Linked DNA regions of Struthio camelus. The protein of the gene in region 1 binds, or shares a complex with, the protein of each later gene. Links are inferred from orthologs where the notes say so. Each region holds a gene or a part of one and is shown on either strand. Other genes may lie near its edges.

The links.
Region 2: the proteins of VEGFC (region 1) and KDR are in contact, whole or in part, in a crystal structure (PDB 2X1W), measured with the Homo sapiens proteins. The link is inferred for Struthio camelus from reciprocal best matches to the Homo sapiens genes VEGFC and KDR. Residues at the interface, in NP_005420.1 of Homo sapiens: Thr148, Asn149, Phe151, Lys153, Phe186, Ile188, Val190, Pro191, Leu192, Gln194, Pro196; in NP_002244.1 of Homo sapiens: Val135, Tyr137, Ile215, Val216, Val217, Val218, Asn253, Val254, Gly255, Ile256, Asp257, Phe258, Asn274, Arg275, Asp276, Phe288, Leu289, Ser310, Ser311, Gly312.

What each region holds. Positions count from the first base shown.
Region 1 is NC_090945.1:47,926,922-47,934,974, forward strand, and holds the start of VEGFC (vascular endothelial growth factor C), read right to left. Parts: upstream 3,244-8,053; 5' UTR 2,982-3,243; coding exon of another isoform or gene 2,931-2,981; 5' UTR 2,693-2,930; coding exon 2,549-2,692; intron 1,619-2,548; exon of another isoform or gene 1,505-1,618; coding exon of another isoform or gene 1,466-1,504; intron 1,446-1,465; exon of another isoform or gene 1-1,445. UniProt on the Homo sapiens protein: Growth factor active in angiogenesis, and endothelial cell growth, stimulating their proliferation and migration and also has effects on the permeability of blood vessels.
Region 2 is NC_090945.1:56,670,397-56,678,230, reverse strand, and holds the start of KDR (vascular endothelial growth factor receptor 2), read right to left. Parts: upstream 3,222-7,834; 5' UTR 3,061-3,221; coding exon 3,009-3,060; intron 1,892-3,008; coding exon 1,801-1,891; intron 1,181-1,800; coding exon 984-1,180; intron 1-983. UniProt on the Homo sapiens protein: Tyrosine-protein kinase that acts as a cell-surface receptor for VEGFA, VEGFC and VEGFD. Plays an essential role in the regulation of angiogenesis, vascular development, vascular permeability, and embryonic hematopoiesis.

The DNA.
Region 1 (8,053 bases):
AGTTGGAGGACCTCCAATTTCATCCACACTTTTAGAAATAAGTTTCTAAAGCAGAAGTTCTTAAAGAGGAATAAAAATGTCATATAAAAAGTTCCCCCCAAAAGTTGTATGATCCCACACTTGCATCAGTTCAATACACAGCAGCATGGCATATGTGGTGGAAGGTGAAAACAGGGAAACCGTAAAAATCTACAAACACAAGCCAGCACGCATTTTTCATTTGATTTAAGAAAGTTCAAGTAAATGACTTTTTACTGACAGTATAATCACATTTTCCTTGAACTAATTACTTACAGTTTACTTATTTAATCCTTTCTAATTACTCCAGGCATTCATCTCAATAGTCTCTCATCCCAGGGACAAACACGCACAATACACGCTCACTCAAACAGTTCCAGAAAAAAATCAGGGTAACTCACAACTAAGACTTCCAACGTCACCAAGGCTGCTCAGACGCTGAATCTCATATTACTGTTCACCACTAGTCAGGCACAAAATCATTTTCTTTGTTAATATAATTGTTTAACATATGCTATCCCACTCACTTCCCAGGCTGCTGACCTTTTTCCTTCGCTCTGCTCACGGTTCCCCTTTTTCCAGGGAACACTTGCACTTCTACAAAACACACTTCAGTGGTAGCTCCTAAAGATTTAGAGGTTTCAAGAAGCAGGGTAACTATCTACAGCATGTGCATGGAAACGTACAGCATCACTTAGGAGGGTATCTTTACTATCAGCTGTTCTACCTCAGTAGTTTAAACGCACAAAGTATGCACTGTGCTCCAGTTTTGATTCCTTCTACCTTTTCAGCACAGGCTGTTCTGAGGGTTTACAATACAAAAATCAATTTCACTCAGGAAATAACTGGCTCACTATCATAAGCTGGAGTTTCTTTGTTTTTTATGTTTTTTTAAAATTATTTAGACTATTTATAACAATGCAAAACTTAGTGAATGATAAGATAAAATAAGTGACCAGCCAGACTGATTTTGTGTCCCTATTTTTAAATATTTAGATTTGCAAAATACTTGATAAGCATTCAAGCAATATAATCACTTAGAGCATTAAGGATGTTAATATATAAGCATTCAGGCTCTAATTGAAATGTCTGAAGAGGGAGTACAATATCCTCAGTAACCTTTTCTATTTAGAGTATTATTGGAAAAGCATGAATTCTGTGAGCTACACATGGTCTACAACAGCTTGAATATCCAAAATAAGTACAGCTAATGCACATTATCAGAACCTGAGTCTGACTTCCCATCCAATTACAGTAAACTTTCCTAAACTTTCAATCAGTAAAGCAAACAGCATTAGTATATTAAACTTATTTCATTAACCAGATTAAAAATATCACTGTAAATCTAAAAAACAAAAAAGTGCAGAATAGCAGCTGAACTCGTAATTCACACATTTTGTACTTTTTTTCCTCCATACTTCAGTGGATAATGAATGAGCTGACTCACCATTGCTTTTGACAAGTATGCTGCGAATCTTAAGAACATCTACATCAGGGTAAGACTTGTTACGAACTCGGACATCAAAGGTCTTTCTAATAACATCGCCTGCTTACACAAGTATATACTACACATCCTTTTCATGCATCAGCGTACTGGGAACTGCAAAACCACAAAGTTTGCTGAAAGGTACTTGAATTCTAAGTTATGAAACTTCCAACAGAAATAAAAATTAACATACAATCGGAACTTGAGAACGTATGTAGAACCTTAACTGTACTGTACGCCTGGACAGTTTTCAAATCCAAGTGTCAAGTTACACCTTCTATAAACTCTGTCACGCAGCAGTAGGTCACTGCAGTTTCAATAACTCCAAGAGACTTTTCAACAAATGGAAAGTCTCAGTTTTTGTTGTCATCGTCCCCCACACGTTTCCCTCGCTACTTCATTCCTATGCACAGCTGCTGCTCGAAGCGGTGCTCAGCCCTTCCTCCAGCAGCTAGCTCCCCGCTCTGCCCCGCCGAGCCCGTCGCGGGCACCCGCACAAAGCCGCCGGCGCCCCCCGGCCCCCCGCAGCCCTGCCCTCGCTGAAGAAGCCTCCAGGGCCGCCGGGACCCGCCGGCCGGGGAGCACTCCGGCTGCCAGCGCCGAGGCAAGCGACAGCCGAAGCCGCGGGTCGCTGCCGCCTCCGGGCCGAGCGGCGGCCGGCGGGGCCGCGGCCGCGACCTCTCCCCGCGGGACAGCCCCCGGCCACGGCCACGCAGCACCAAGGACCGCGGCAGGGGCACAGCCCTCGGGCTGCCTTTGCTGATCAGGTGTTTTGCGTTTCTTTGTCAACACGGTTCTTCCCTCTGCAACCACCCTTCCAGCAACCCTGAAAAAAACCCAGAAACTTTTTTTTCTTTTTCTTTTTTTTTTTTGGCTTAAACAAATCCCCCCAACCCCCACCCCGGGTTTTGGAAGAGCTCCCATTTCAAAAGGCTTCTCCCAAATATTTTCCTCCGCGGGATTTCCAAGCAGCCCGTCCGAGCGCACTCTCAGGCGCATGCCTGCAGAAGGCAGCTCGCATCTGCTGCGGGGGCACGGACGTACCTTCGCCTCCCCCGCGTCGGGCTCCTCCTCGTAGTACCCCTGGCCGGACTCGTAGGCGGCGGCGGCGGCCGGCTGCCGGGGTCCCAGGAGCACGGCGCCGGCAGCCAGGCAGCAACCCAGGGAGAGCACCTCCAGCAAGTGCATTGTGCAAAGATGGCAGGGCGGGCGCGCCGCGGAGCCACGGGGCACTTGGAGGAATGCAGGCGAAATTAGGAGGCTCCTTCTCTTCCTCTCCCCCTTCTTTTGCTGCCGTCTCCCCCCTCCCTCTCCTCGCAATATCCAAGGCAGTAAAATCCGTGGGATGGAGAAGATGCAGTAGCAGCAGCTCCTAGACGCCTGCAGGGGAGTTCCCAACTTTCCCAGCCGCTTTGCAAATTCTCACCAAAGTTATCCGGAGTTTGCCAGGTAAAAAACCCACCAGGAAACCGGACATCCGAGGCTGCGCTCACTCAGGAGCAGGGGAGGTGGAAAGCGCAGAGAGGAGGAGGAGGAGGAGGGAAGGAAGGGAAGGGAAGGGAAGGAGGCAGAGAGAGAGAGGCAGAGCGGGAGCGAGCGGACGCTCACCCCTGGGGAGCTCCCGCCTCCCCGCGCAGCCCCTGCCCGCGCGGGCCGCGCCGCGGCGGAGGCCGAGGGGTGCGCAGAGGGGCGCCCGCCGTCCGCCGCCGCGGAGGGCTCGCCGGACGCCTGTCAGCGGCAGCGCGGCCGGGGGGTGCGCGGCGCCCGGGGCTGCGCGGCGGCCGCGGGGGCCGCGCATGGCGAAAGCGCCCTCTGCCTGCGCCTCTGCGCGGCGAGAGGGGGCGGCCGGCCGGTCGGCCGGCCTGCCTCCGCCTCCGCCTCCTCCTCCTCCCGCCGGCGGATCCGCCAAAGCCTACCGCCCTCTAGGTCCCAGCCCCGAGGGGAAAGCAAAGTTCGTCGCCGTTTCACCCAGCGGTTCCGCCACCGCATGCGGTTGGTTAAACCGCGCACCCAGCACGTCTGCAATCTTGCAAGAAAATTTCTGTTTAGTCCTGATCGGTTACTTGTTGAGCAATATTGGCTGCTCCATCTGCGAGAGTGTAACAGGCACGCAGCTTTTTTAACTGGAGGGAGAAAAAGATTTCGGCATGTTAGAAACAGACCCTGAACAGTACCTTATTTATCTGCAGTATTCCCGTCAATGAGAGTCTGGAGCCATCTTTGAACAGAAGTTCCCCCAGTTCAGAGCCCTACATAAAACAGCATAAATATGTTTTTCAGAGACACTATGATTAAAAATAAGGCTTGAGTTTTTTCTTTGTTGATGTTACTTTTTTCCTTTTAAGTACAACAAGTGGAGAACTGCATATTGCAGTAACAAAGTACAGCCTGATCAAATCCCAGCGCTGTGAAAGGAGGAGTTATATTCTGTATATTATTATTTTTGTTTGATGTGAACAGCGTTTCTGAAACTCGTGCAAAAATTTTAAAAGCTTTTCAAATTATTCTGCATCACACTTATACTTCTTTTGGTAAGAGAATTGTAAGAGAACAGATTTCTGACTGCCTTGGCTGGATCCTGGCTCTCTACTCCTATTCTAATATTCTTATTTCTGGAGTAATCCCATTATGGAACTACTTAGGGAATGACATTCAAAAGGTTATACATGAAGGTATCTCTCCATCAGGTCTTTAGGTACCTTCTATTCTTTCTACTCTATTCTTTATCAGTCTTAAGGTGGTAGATCAGCTAATAAACTATGTGGATACTACGAAACAATCACTTCATTTACAATCTGAAAAAAAATCTAAAATTTAAATAGAGCTACATTTTAACACAATTATTAAAGCACTAACATTTTTTCAATATCTTCACAGGAGAGTAAAGCAGCAAAATGAAGACAGTGGTAGAGGTTAATCAGAACAGCTATAAAGATATAAAACATAAATAAATTACAAAGCTTATTGTCCTTCAGTGGAGCCTTACAACACTGCAGATCAAAGTATAGGATTGAAGCCAGCCAGCCAGCACGCTCCAGGATGCAAAACTCATCTAAGCCAGGAACACAGCATCACTGGTTTGAGTTCAAACATGCCAAAAACTCTCAGAAGCATCACAGACTACTGCAGAAACAGAGGTATTTTGCAGCATGTTAATAAAACTGACCTGACAATATCCATTTCAATAGCCAAGTGTCACGCAGAGAGCATCTCTCAGTAACTAGATCACGAAACAAGATGAAACACTGTTCATGCTGTGCCATCATAGCATCAGCTGGCTTCATCGTTTCCCCAGTTCTCTTTACGTTCTCATTCTGTCCTTTTCCTTCCCCAATTCATAGAACTTCCATCATGGAGTCAAATATTTTCATGCAAGAAAGCACTTTCACTGACTACTCTTGTATACTTGTATATCAAGTTTAAAGTGTCATAATTGAAAGCTTGTAATCGCAATCATAGCACCTCAAGTCACAATCTGATCATAAGGTTTCTAGATTTCAGCCTATTCACTTACTGTATACTTTCTCTGCAAAGGAGTGACTATACCTTTGGCTAAGGGGTAACATTTTAAGGTTTTCCTCATTTCAGGCTGCATTTTTCTCAGTCCCATAAAAGACGGCCAATTTAAATGTTTACCGATTTAAAATCTTTTCTCCGTTCCTCATCACCAAGCAGTTGGTATTCCTTTTCTCGTCTTCAAATTAAGCAGAAAACATTATAATATTATTTATATGAAAATACCCAGATAAGGCCTACAAGGTAACTAATTTAAAGTTTTAAGTGAAATTAATACACTGGCAATGAACTGATCTTCTAAATACAAATGAGAAAAGAGATATCCTTAATAGTGCAGAAATACAGTTCTAGGTCTGGCCATGTTATGTTTTAAAGGCAATGATAGCTACTGTTGACAAACAAAGGAAATCCTTGATGTAAGCTCTATGACTCCTTCAAATGAATTCTCTCAATGTGGTTTTAAAATTACATTAAAAAATCCAGACTCCCCCTTAATTAAGTTGGTGTAATATACATCTGTCAAGCACATTCCTCTCTGAGTCTAGACATACCTGATACGCTCCTGTTTAATACATCCTGCCTCTCAAATGTGGATGTGTTTCAATAACTGTTTTCTATCTGTAATCATTAGCAGTAGGAAAACTCAGAGAGGAGCCACTGTAAGAAACGTGAGCTGAGACTGGGGGATTAAAAAGTGTCAATAGCAGCAAAAAAAAAAAAAAAAAAAAAACCAGTAGCATGCTATAGCAATTTGCTCTGTTTGCTTGTTGTAGAGTTTGCTTATTTTAGACTTTTCAAGGCTAAAAAAACCAAGCTGTTGAATGTTTTCTTTTGCCGTTTCAGTTCTCCTTATATTTAAACTTTAGCTAGTCATAGTTTTGTGTTTGATTCAAAACATTTGCATTTTCTCCTTAAATAGACATATAAAGGCATGTTTAAGAGTTAAAAAAAAGACAAATAGTCCTGGTTTGCTTTTGTTTTAACACAAAGTTGTCAGTGCTTAATGGTGAGTTTCAGAAGGATTTATATTTAATGTAACATTTAAAAGATGGACATTGTTGTTCTTAAGTGCTGCAACTCAAACAAACATGGAAGCTCCGTTCTGGAGTCATTCCAAAAGATGAAGGTACTCTTGTAAACCTCAGCTCCCAGTCCTGCTAAACACACAACTCTCCCATATTTCCTACAATGCTTACAAGCATGAAAAAAGTGTTTGGATACCAATCAGCATCCTAACTATCAAAGCCTTACACAAGATACTACAAAAAAGCTTAATTATATATCTAGAACAACAACGAAAAACCATTTCAGATTCAGTATCAGACTACTGAAACAGCAGAATCACTAGTGAATCTCCTGCCCATTGAATCTTTTAGTCTCAACTGTTGCTACACATTTCTTACCATATTGCTTGATGCCTTTTACCGACTTTAAGTCCTATGGAAGGCTACTGAAAAATGACACAGTGGATTTCAGGTTGTAGTCTGCTTCTTTCCTCAAACTCTCTTGCATATATAAAACATGCATATGATTTACAGTAAACACTTAGGAGTACTGCAGTTTTACTAATTGTATGCATAATGGCCTTCCTCACTTCTCACAAACAAATTTAAAAGTACAAATTTTTTTATACGGGCCCATATTAGTATTTTCTTGTATGATCCTAGAAGGATTTAAGCATGGTGGCTTGAAAGTCACCTGAAAGAACCAAAATCTTTCCCCTGACTTCAATCAGGCGTCTTCTCTGTAAAGCATAACCCATGGGAAACTGTTCTTTGCCAAACCCTCAGCCAAGGACTCCGAAATGTAGCTTTATCCATTCATTTGCCCTAAACGTATTGCCAAGATGAATAACTTTAATTCAATGAATAAAGATGTCATTGCTGCAAAATCATTTTCTGCAATGCTTAGCCTAATAACTTGCATTTTTTTATTATCTGGGAATTTTGCTTTCTTTTGGTGTAAAAATTTGTGACTCTTGAAAATTAATTAATAAGACAAGAATCCTTATTCTTCAGCCCTTTGATAGTGGTTGATATTCAGGGCTTATGGGATTATTGGGCTTTCTTTGTTCTCAGGGATCGTCTTTCTAAACTTTTAAAATCAAGACTGTTGGCACGTGACATTAGAATCCCCCAGTGATACAGACTAGACAACTGCATTAGCATAAAATCCCTGCAATCCTCGCTGTCTTAAGGGGGGGTTGGTAGAATCAAAAAATGGGCAGCACCAGGCAGCATCTCAAGGAAAGTTTTTGAATTCTCCAAAGTAAACTGTATCTCTAAAGTTGCTCTAAACTTGAATGGAGAAAGCACTAGCACACATTTTATCCAGCTGTCTTACATAAGGATCTTTCTCTTCACTATAGTTTTTTCCTCTCGTGATGCAATGTCTCACACAAGAACTGGTATGCAGAGAGTATTGATTTAACTTCATATAAAGTAATTAATCTCTCCATGTAGCAATGCTGTTCATAGTTATAACCTCTGACTATAAACAATAAAATGACTGATCATAAGTTTACACTGCCTCTTAAGTGAAAGCTGTGTGCAATCTAAACTGTCTACAATTGAAGTCACATCACTATATAAATAAATTTGGATTCTACAAAACATTAGGATTTAACAGCACACGACCATTATGCGTACAAACTCTCATCATGATACATTACTTGCCAGCAGTATTCTTCAAAGCGGCAATCTTATGAGATAAGGAATGTGCTCAGAATCTTTATTCCCCGATCACAATTATAAATTCTTTTGCAACGCAACAGAACAAAACAGTCTTAAAGCAATTTAAGACACGTTTCCATATAATGTGCTAAAGCAATGGCAAAACAAACTATTTCTGTACAGAGGTGCAGTTTCTATTATCTCTGTTCCTGCAGAGAGGTATGTCTTCTCCACTAGTACGTACTGTGCTGCGTTCCCCCTTTCTCTTTAGCATTTCAAGGCTTCTTATGAAAAATGTAGGAGGAGAATTGACTTAGGTAAGGAAAAATTTGTGTTAAATAATAAGCAAAAATGAGGATCA
Region 2 (7,834 bases), about 8.7 Mb from region 1:
GGCTATGTTTTGACAGCCACCCAGTTTTACAATACTATTATTCTCAAAACAGTTATCAGCAGGAGTACGTACTTCAGAGAATAGCTTCCTGCCACGGCACTCTTTGTGCAGGCAAAAATCTGATTTACCCTAGTATAACTTTGCTTGCATAAGTATTACAGGAAATATCAGTTAAAGTAGTGACACGCTAAACAGCCCCCAAAACAGCAGGGTCCTTTTCAGAGTCAGTCAAAAAAAAAAAGAGAGCTCATGATCTTATAGAACAAGCTAGCTCATGTATATAACAACACCCCATTGTTAAAAATGCTAACCACAAGTTAGAATAAAAAGGAAATAGGACGCACAAGAACATGGGTACCAACGCAAGTGCAAAAAAGGGAGATGCCTTAGTGTATGCACCTTCTTAAGCTGAATGTATAACTGAAGGCTTTGCAGCAGCTGCCATGCTCTTCAGCATTTCTATCAACAGAACTGATAGCCTGAGTCTGAAACTCAGCTTTTACTCCTATAGTCAACCAATGCACGGAAGCTCACGGTTTAATTTGTTTGAACAGCATCAGTTAGTACAAATGGTAAAAGGCAGGGTGATACGTCTATTTTAAAAAATACATACGACCTCTATAATCCTCCCTTGTAGGAAACTCCTACTGACTTCAGTAATAGCTCTGCAATCATGAGGACAGGCTGAGAGCACAGTAGAGATATATGCAGGCTAAGTTCTGGGCAGAGGAGAAAAGTAGACTAAGTACCGTACATGGAAGGTTAATTTAAAATTACAAGCACACAGCTTTTTCTATTGAAGGCAGCGAGCATATTGGCATGTAACTACTTAGCATGAAAATGGGTAGGAAAAATAATAGTTTCATAGGACTAAAAATTTTGGGATTTAGAAATTTTAATGCCAAAATCATTTTGAGACGCTTAATACCCCTTTTCATTTTGCAGAGAGGTGGGAGTCACATATGAACTGTGTAAGCACTTACCTTGAACATAGACATAAATGGTTGTAGCTGCCTGGCTGTCCCTGTAAAGGCACCTGTAGTCTCCTGTGTCATTGCCTATTACTTTTAGGAGAGTAAGCATCTTACAGTAGGGGCCATCACTACAGTTTGTCACAGCGATACGCTTCTCAGCACTGCTCTGATTGTTCGGCCAGAACCAGTCCAGAGCTCTCTGACCACTAGGAAAGCAAATGTTAGAGAAGCATTAGCACGTGATGGGTATCAGTACGGTTGCCAAGCTGGTAAAACTCAGTTCTGCTAGTCTCTACAGGTACAAAAAGGAATTGGCTTCATTACGTAGCATGGATTGTCAAGTCCCATATGACAAATTCACACAAACCAAGCTATTACTAATACCTACGTGGAAGCTATTTCATTTTGAGAATTCAGTGATGGCAAATCGAAGTAACACAGATCCTAAAAGGGAGGGGCGAGAGCCTCACTCCCCAGCACACCCTGCAAGGATCCAGCTAATGCCGCGTCTCCTTGCACTTCCCAGCTCCTCTCACAGGGTAGTAGTCGGGACTAGACCAAAGCTACTCTGAAGCACTTTTTATGTCATGCCCATTGGCTAGCCTGCTGCTGTACCTTTCTTCAGTGATCCTCCGTTACTGTAACCCTTTAAGATCATTTCTAAAGCCCATCAGGGAAAAGCACAGGGGAAGGGAGAATTACAAAGGGAGGGGAGAGAAACGGGAGAGATGAAAGGAGAGAGAGAAAGAGTCATCTGTAATTCTGTACAAAAAAAGGCTGCATAAGTAACCCCCATCAAAAGCATACTGGCCAGATTTGCCCTTACCTGCAAGTAATATTTAGAGTAGCATTTGCAGTTATTGTGAGGACATCTTTTTGGATGCTAAGGCTTGGCTGATCCAGAGAAGTAAATAAACCTGCAAAAATATGTATGAAAAACCTCCAGTCAAAGCAATTACAAGATAAAAGTAAATGCTGCTCAATCAGAAAAGCATCACATACAAGTAGATGCTACATGTTTTAAGTGGACACTTTCACATCATCTGCTTAGCAGTGTAGCGGTAAATAATGACTTTTCACACATCACAAAGTTCAAAAACTCTGTCATAACAGGAAGAAAAGGCAGATGGTCAGGACCTAGCTGCAGAGCACTACAATTCATCGAGCCAGGGTGGAGTTCCTGTTTTTTTGCATTGCCAGATTCAAGGTCTAACAAGAGGATGTTGGACATTGAAATAAAGCGAACCTTCATCTGATGATCTCACTCCCTGGGGAAAGGGATCACCAGCTTTTCTTATAATAAATTGCATATATTTATATTCTTTGAGCCTGCTGATTAAGGAATTCAGTGAAGAATTCCTTTGCACAGTTTGCCACAAAGTCAAGGTCTCATGAGCCCAGCACTGCTCTTCTTTACCATGTTTTTCTCACGTTGCCCCTCTCTTCCTAAGCAGCCGGGCAAAACCCATTACCCTCGAGCTCTCTTCACGCCAGGGTTGCATCAGGCTCGCGCCGAGCCACCTGCGCTCGCGAAGGCTGCGATTTCAGCGCCGATGCTCGCTCTGAGGCAACACAGTCCAGGTTGCGCAAGGCTTGCGAGGAACACAGCCAGAGGTTTTCAGGCCGCGCTCCCGCCAGGAATCCTGCCCCACCGGCGCAGGACCAGGACTCCCCACCGGCACAGCGCGGCCAGCCGCCGCGGGTGACAAGACGGCCGGGCCAGGCCTTAACTCTTTCCCTGCCCTTCCCCTCGCGCGTCCCCGCGGTTTAACCAAGGGCGGCCGATGACAGCCCCGGGCTGGGGCTCCCGCCGCGGACCCGCAGCCCAGCCGACGGCTGCCCCTCAGCCGAGCCGCACCGTTGCTCATCAGCACCGCCGGGCACAGCCCTTCCCCGCCGGGCTGCAGGCCCGCGGCCGCCCGGCCGAGCCCCCCTCCTCGACACCCCGCGGGGCCGCAGCAGCGCAACGGCTCCGCGGCCGCCCCCCCTCCCCCCAACCGCCCTTTGCGGGGCGCCCCGACGGGTGCCGCTTACCGGGCGCCAAGCACAGCGCGGCCACCAGCACCAACGCCGCGCCGAGCTCCATGCCGCGGCCGCCGGGCCCTCCCGCCAGCCGGGGGCGGCTTCAGCTGCGGGCGCTGCCGAGCGCGGAGCGACGTCGGGGCAGTGGCAGCGGCAGGGGCCGGGGCAGGAGCCGCTCCGCGCCGCGCCGCGGGATGCGGGACCCCGGCGAGCGCCGCCGGCCCCGCCCCGCCCCGTCCCGTCCCCTCGGGCTGGGGGCGGGGCCTCGCCGCCGCCGCCCCGCCCCGTCCCCGGCGGCCGTTGGCCGGAGGGACGGTTGGGCCGTTGGCGGCCTGGGCCGGGCGGGCGAGGAGACGTTGTCGGGGTGGCCGGTGGGACCTCGCGTGACAGGGTTCTTCCTGAGGCACGTGCAGGAAGACACGGTTCTTCTCCTGCTGCCCCTTGACTTTATCCACCCGAGCTTTTACGTCTCTGACCATAGGAAGACCTGCGTTTGCAGGACAACTTGAAAGTCCCTCAGTCAGGTGCATCTTCTCGGCGCGTGTGACACGTATCCATCAGTTTAACTGACTAAATCACGTCCAGCAGAATCCGGCAACTTCTCGTAAGATTCATCCTTTCCACCCTTTTCCTCCAACAGCCAAATCCAGTACTCTTTCCCCAGGTATCAATACCAGCTGCGGTACTGATTCCCCTTTCATACTGCAGGTTTCATCCCCCCCCCCCCCCAAAAAAAAATTAACCCCCATCCCCAACTAGAATTGTACTTTTTAATCGAAATTATTAACCAAGCCACTGTTGAAAGACAAGTTCATGAAGCAGTCCTTCTGGGAAAATAAATACATGGTCATAAATGCTTTATCCATACACATAAATCTACAGCCTCAGGGGGGAAACAAATACATCTGCAGTAACAAATGGGTAGGTAGGTAGGTGGAGAGATAGACAGATAGATAGAATAGGTAGACAGATAGATAAAATAGGTGGGTAGATAGATAAGTAGCCATCTAAGTAGGAAAATGGACAGAAACAACATAGCTATATACATAACTGCATGCATGCATGTACATACATATCTGCATACTACAGTTTTCTCTTTACCTGCAGATCTGCATGTGAGCCTGTCCACAAATGAATAAGTTAACGAAGCAGTGATTTTATTTTGCATGCTGTGCAATTCCAGCTGGTTTACTGTACTTGGGAATCAGCGTAATTTCCTTTGAAACACCCCTGTTGATCACAGAAAAATACAAGGACTGGGAGAAGCCAAATTTCTGTACTAATTTTTTCCCAGAAACCAAATAAACTCCATGAAAAGTCAGAGAAGAATCATATGGCCCAAAAAGTGGCAAGTGGGCATCGTGCAGATAAAATGTGTTACTGCTATTCTTATGAGCTCTTAAACCAGCAAATTGGTAGCCCTCATCTATCTCCATCATATTGTAGGTTGGGTCAGTGGTGTCTCTCAACTAAACAACTGTCCCTTGCTGAGACTATGGCTAGGCTGCATATGAGGTTTACGTTTATGTAGAAGTGATAAATACTTAGTGAGAACCAAAGCCACCTACTGTTAAAGAGCCACTTTTGATAACTTCATTTGTGGTGCTGCTGTTTCTGTCGTTTTTGACTACCAAGAACAACATTTTTATTAGAGATGATAAACCTGCCAGAACTGTTTTCCTCCAAAGCAGTTTAGCTCGTTAACAAAGCTAATGAAATTATAGGGATAAGTTGAAAAATGTTCAAATGAACATACTATGGGATCCATGGAACACAGGACAATCACTCGTACCTCACTTTACTGCTTTCTATACTCATATATAAACTTCCAAAAATGCAGTCTGTAGAAAATATGCCACTATACTGATTTTAGCAAATGACTTTTCTGAGACTTAGTTAGACAATACACAAATATAGCTTACTGTAATTCCATTTATGGCCTCTTTTCAAGCATAATTATTGCTATTATGTCAGGGGACTGGAGTGGGGTGGTTGGTTTCGTTGCTGAAAACGATCTTGGCATCTGAGCTTTGTGCAAATAACAAATATCTAAACTTGCAAACAAATCCAAGCAAATATCCAAATATCCAAAATAATAAATATCCACTGCTTGCCCTGAGGCTACCTAAGCAGGGATACGTGACTTCTTCTTCAGTCAAACTTGCAAATGCACCCCAATACTTCCTACATCTCCTTTTCCAAGTCTGGTGCCTCTTAAGTGAAGACCGCAGAATGTTCTGTACTTCTGTAACATGCCCAAAGGCAGCAAAGAGAAGAAGGTAAAATTCATTTTACACCAGGATGGCACAACTCAGATGAGCAGCAGGTTGGAGGAGAGACAGAACACTGCAGACTTCAGTTTCCCAGTAATGGCCCACTAGAAGTTAGCCCTCCTTGTCCCTTGGGGATCATTACATCCCCTGCCTCCTTTCTCTGCAGTTTCCTGGGGAAGGGAAGGGGAGGAAAGGACAGCGGACACACGAACCTCCAGGCTAGTCAATGCACACACCTAGCTGAACAGCCAGCAGTGAGGAGCGTGCAAGTTATGAATGTCAGGTATCCACAGAGAAGTGTGTAGTCCAGAAGCACGTAGTCAGACAAAAAATTAAAAACAAGCAAACAAACAAAAAAACCTCGCCTGCAGACCATATGTTGGCTGTACTGCTCCAGATCAGAATCTACCCTTTTTATCCATTCTGAGCAGTACTTATCTCCCTTAGTGATCCCACTGAAATCTCCGTCTTTACCCTGTAAATGGAAGTACAATCCTTCAGTCCTTTGCCTGGCTGTCAGTTTAAGCTTGTTAACTAGAATTATGCTATAGAAGCTGCTGCTTCACTGTATTCATTACTGTCCCTAGCGTATCAGAGAAATTTGTGATATGAATGAAGTAGAAGACAAGTCCTTACACTCCAGATATTTGAATGAACTCCCAGCCCTGCAGACATTTAAACATAAGAGGAAATTTACTCTGGAGAGTCATTTTACTGATGTAGGGCTTTTCATGTGAATGAATTTATTTACATGCATAGTGTGCATTGGACTAATCCTCTAATAATATCAAGTAAAAACTATGGTCAATACTCATTGGAAATGGTAGGTGTACAAGGAAAGCAAGAGCTAAAAAAGATGTGAAATGACTTTACTGACACAGAGTATACGGTATCATATGTGCTTTGCTACACTGATTTTTATATTTTGAACTTTGTTGTGGCTTTCTCAAGAGGGTTGTCACTGGAAGACACCATGGGAAACCTCTGAGAGAAGAATGGACCGAAGCACAGGAGAGACAGTTACCTATCATCTAACTGAAAGACTGATCTAAATACACTGCTACTGTGATACACTGCTACTGGGATAGCTGTGGGATATTAGGCAACAGATGGCTGCAAGGTTGAGGGGCAAAGGGGCACAGTTTACAAAACCAAAATCCCAGTGATTCAAGTGATGGCAACTTTCATATCCAGTCTTTTAGGCTATAAGCTCTGTGCAGCCTTTCTGCCTTCCTTTAGCCTTGTAGGATATCAAATGTAGCCTGGCTTTCACCAGAGATTACCGGCGCTGAACCATGTGGCGCAAGTGAAAGAATCCAAATACGAGAATCATAATCCAGACTACTGAATGAATAAAATGGTGAGATTTCCTCCCTCCTCAGAGACTGTTTCAATCTGGGAATCTTGTTTCTTCCTGGGATCCTCAAAACAACATGAAATAGCTTCTAATGCTACACCTACCCTTAGGCTCAACACCCTCACCTGCCTTAAATGACAAACAATCCCTTCAAGACTTTTGAGGACTGGCTTAGTCAGAAAAGCCTGCCGCTGTCTTGGCCAGACAATTCCAGTAAAGAATGCAGGGCTGGCATGAGCTCCCCAAACACCCAGCCTTCCTACCACACTGCGTGAGTCTTGGTCTGGCTCGGGACTGGATCTGGAGATTTGCAGGAGAGCTGATATCTAATGGGTGGGATACACTCAGCCAGCATGATTCCTGTACATTTAGTCAGATCAATTCCCTGCTAATACAGCATCTTCCAAAGCCCCTTAGAGGCTTAGTTCTTAAACCCCTTGCCTACACCTTGAGATGGAGAGTGACAGCAACCCTCCTTCGAGTTTGTTTTCAGCCCTCGTTAGCCTCTTTGCCTGCAGCCCCCCAAGGAGGGAAGCTCTGTTTCCGTGACACAATCACTGGGAACGATCTGTATGACAGGAGGGGGCACGAAGTCGTGCCTTGGCCAAACAAGGCCAGCAAACTTTTGTTTATGCATCTGCTCCTCTGGTCGCCAAAAGCTCATTAAAAACAAGACACAAAGAAGCAGGACAAGAGACTGGCAGCTCCCCATCACTCCCCCTTCCCTCTCCTCCCCGGCTTGTCACGACTCCCCCACGCTTGCTCACTCCCACCAGCATCTCCCGGCTGCCTGCAGAGCCCAGCCAGGACAACTGCAGCAGCAGGGGCAGACAGGCAGCCTTTTGTTTGCTTAATTATTCAAATAACAACCTGGGGGGAGATAAGGGCTGGCACTGGGAACACCGATTATGCTCTTCCTTGCTGCAGCAGTTGAATAGGTTTGTAAATGGTCCCTGGCAGCCTAAGGTGCGCAACTGCTCAGTGAAGGCCTTTCATTTAGAAAGGAACACTGATAGCACCACTACCTTTAATATTATTCCCATTTTCTCTTCTGCTAGTACCTGTAGTAGCAACAGAGAGCAAACATGCTCGTCCTCACCACGCATAAACACACACACACGTTCACTGCATGGAGAGGAAGGAAGCAAATTAACCCACAGAAGTGAAGACTGGCTGTGGGGAAACACAGTTGCTGTGCAATCCTTCTT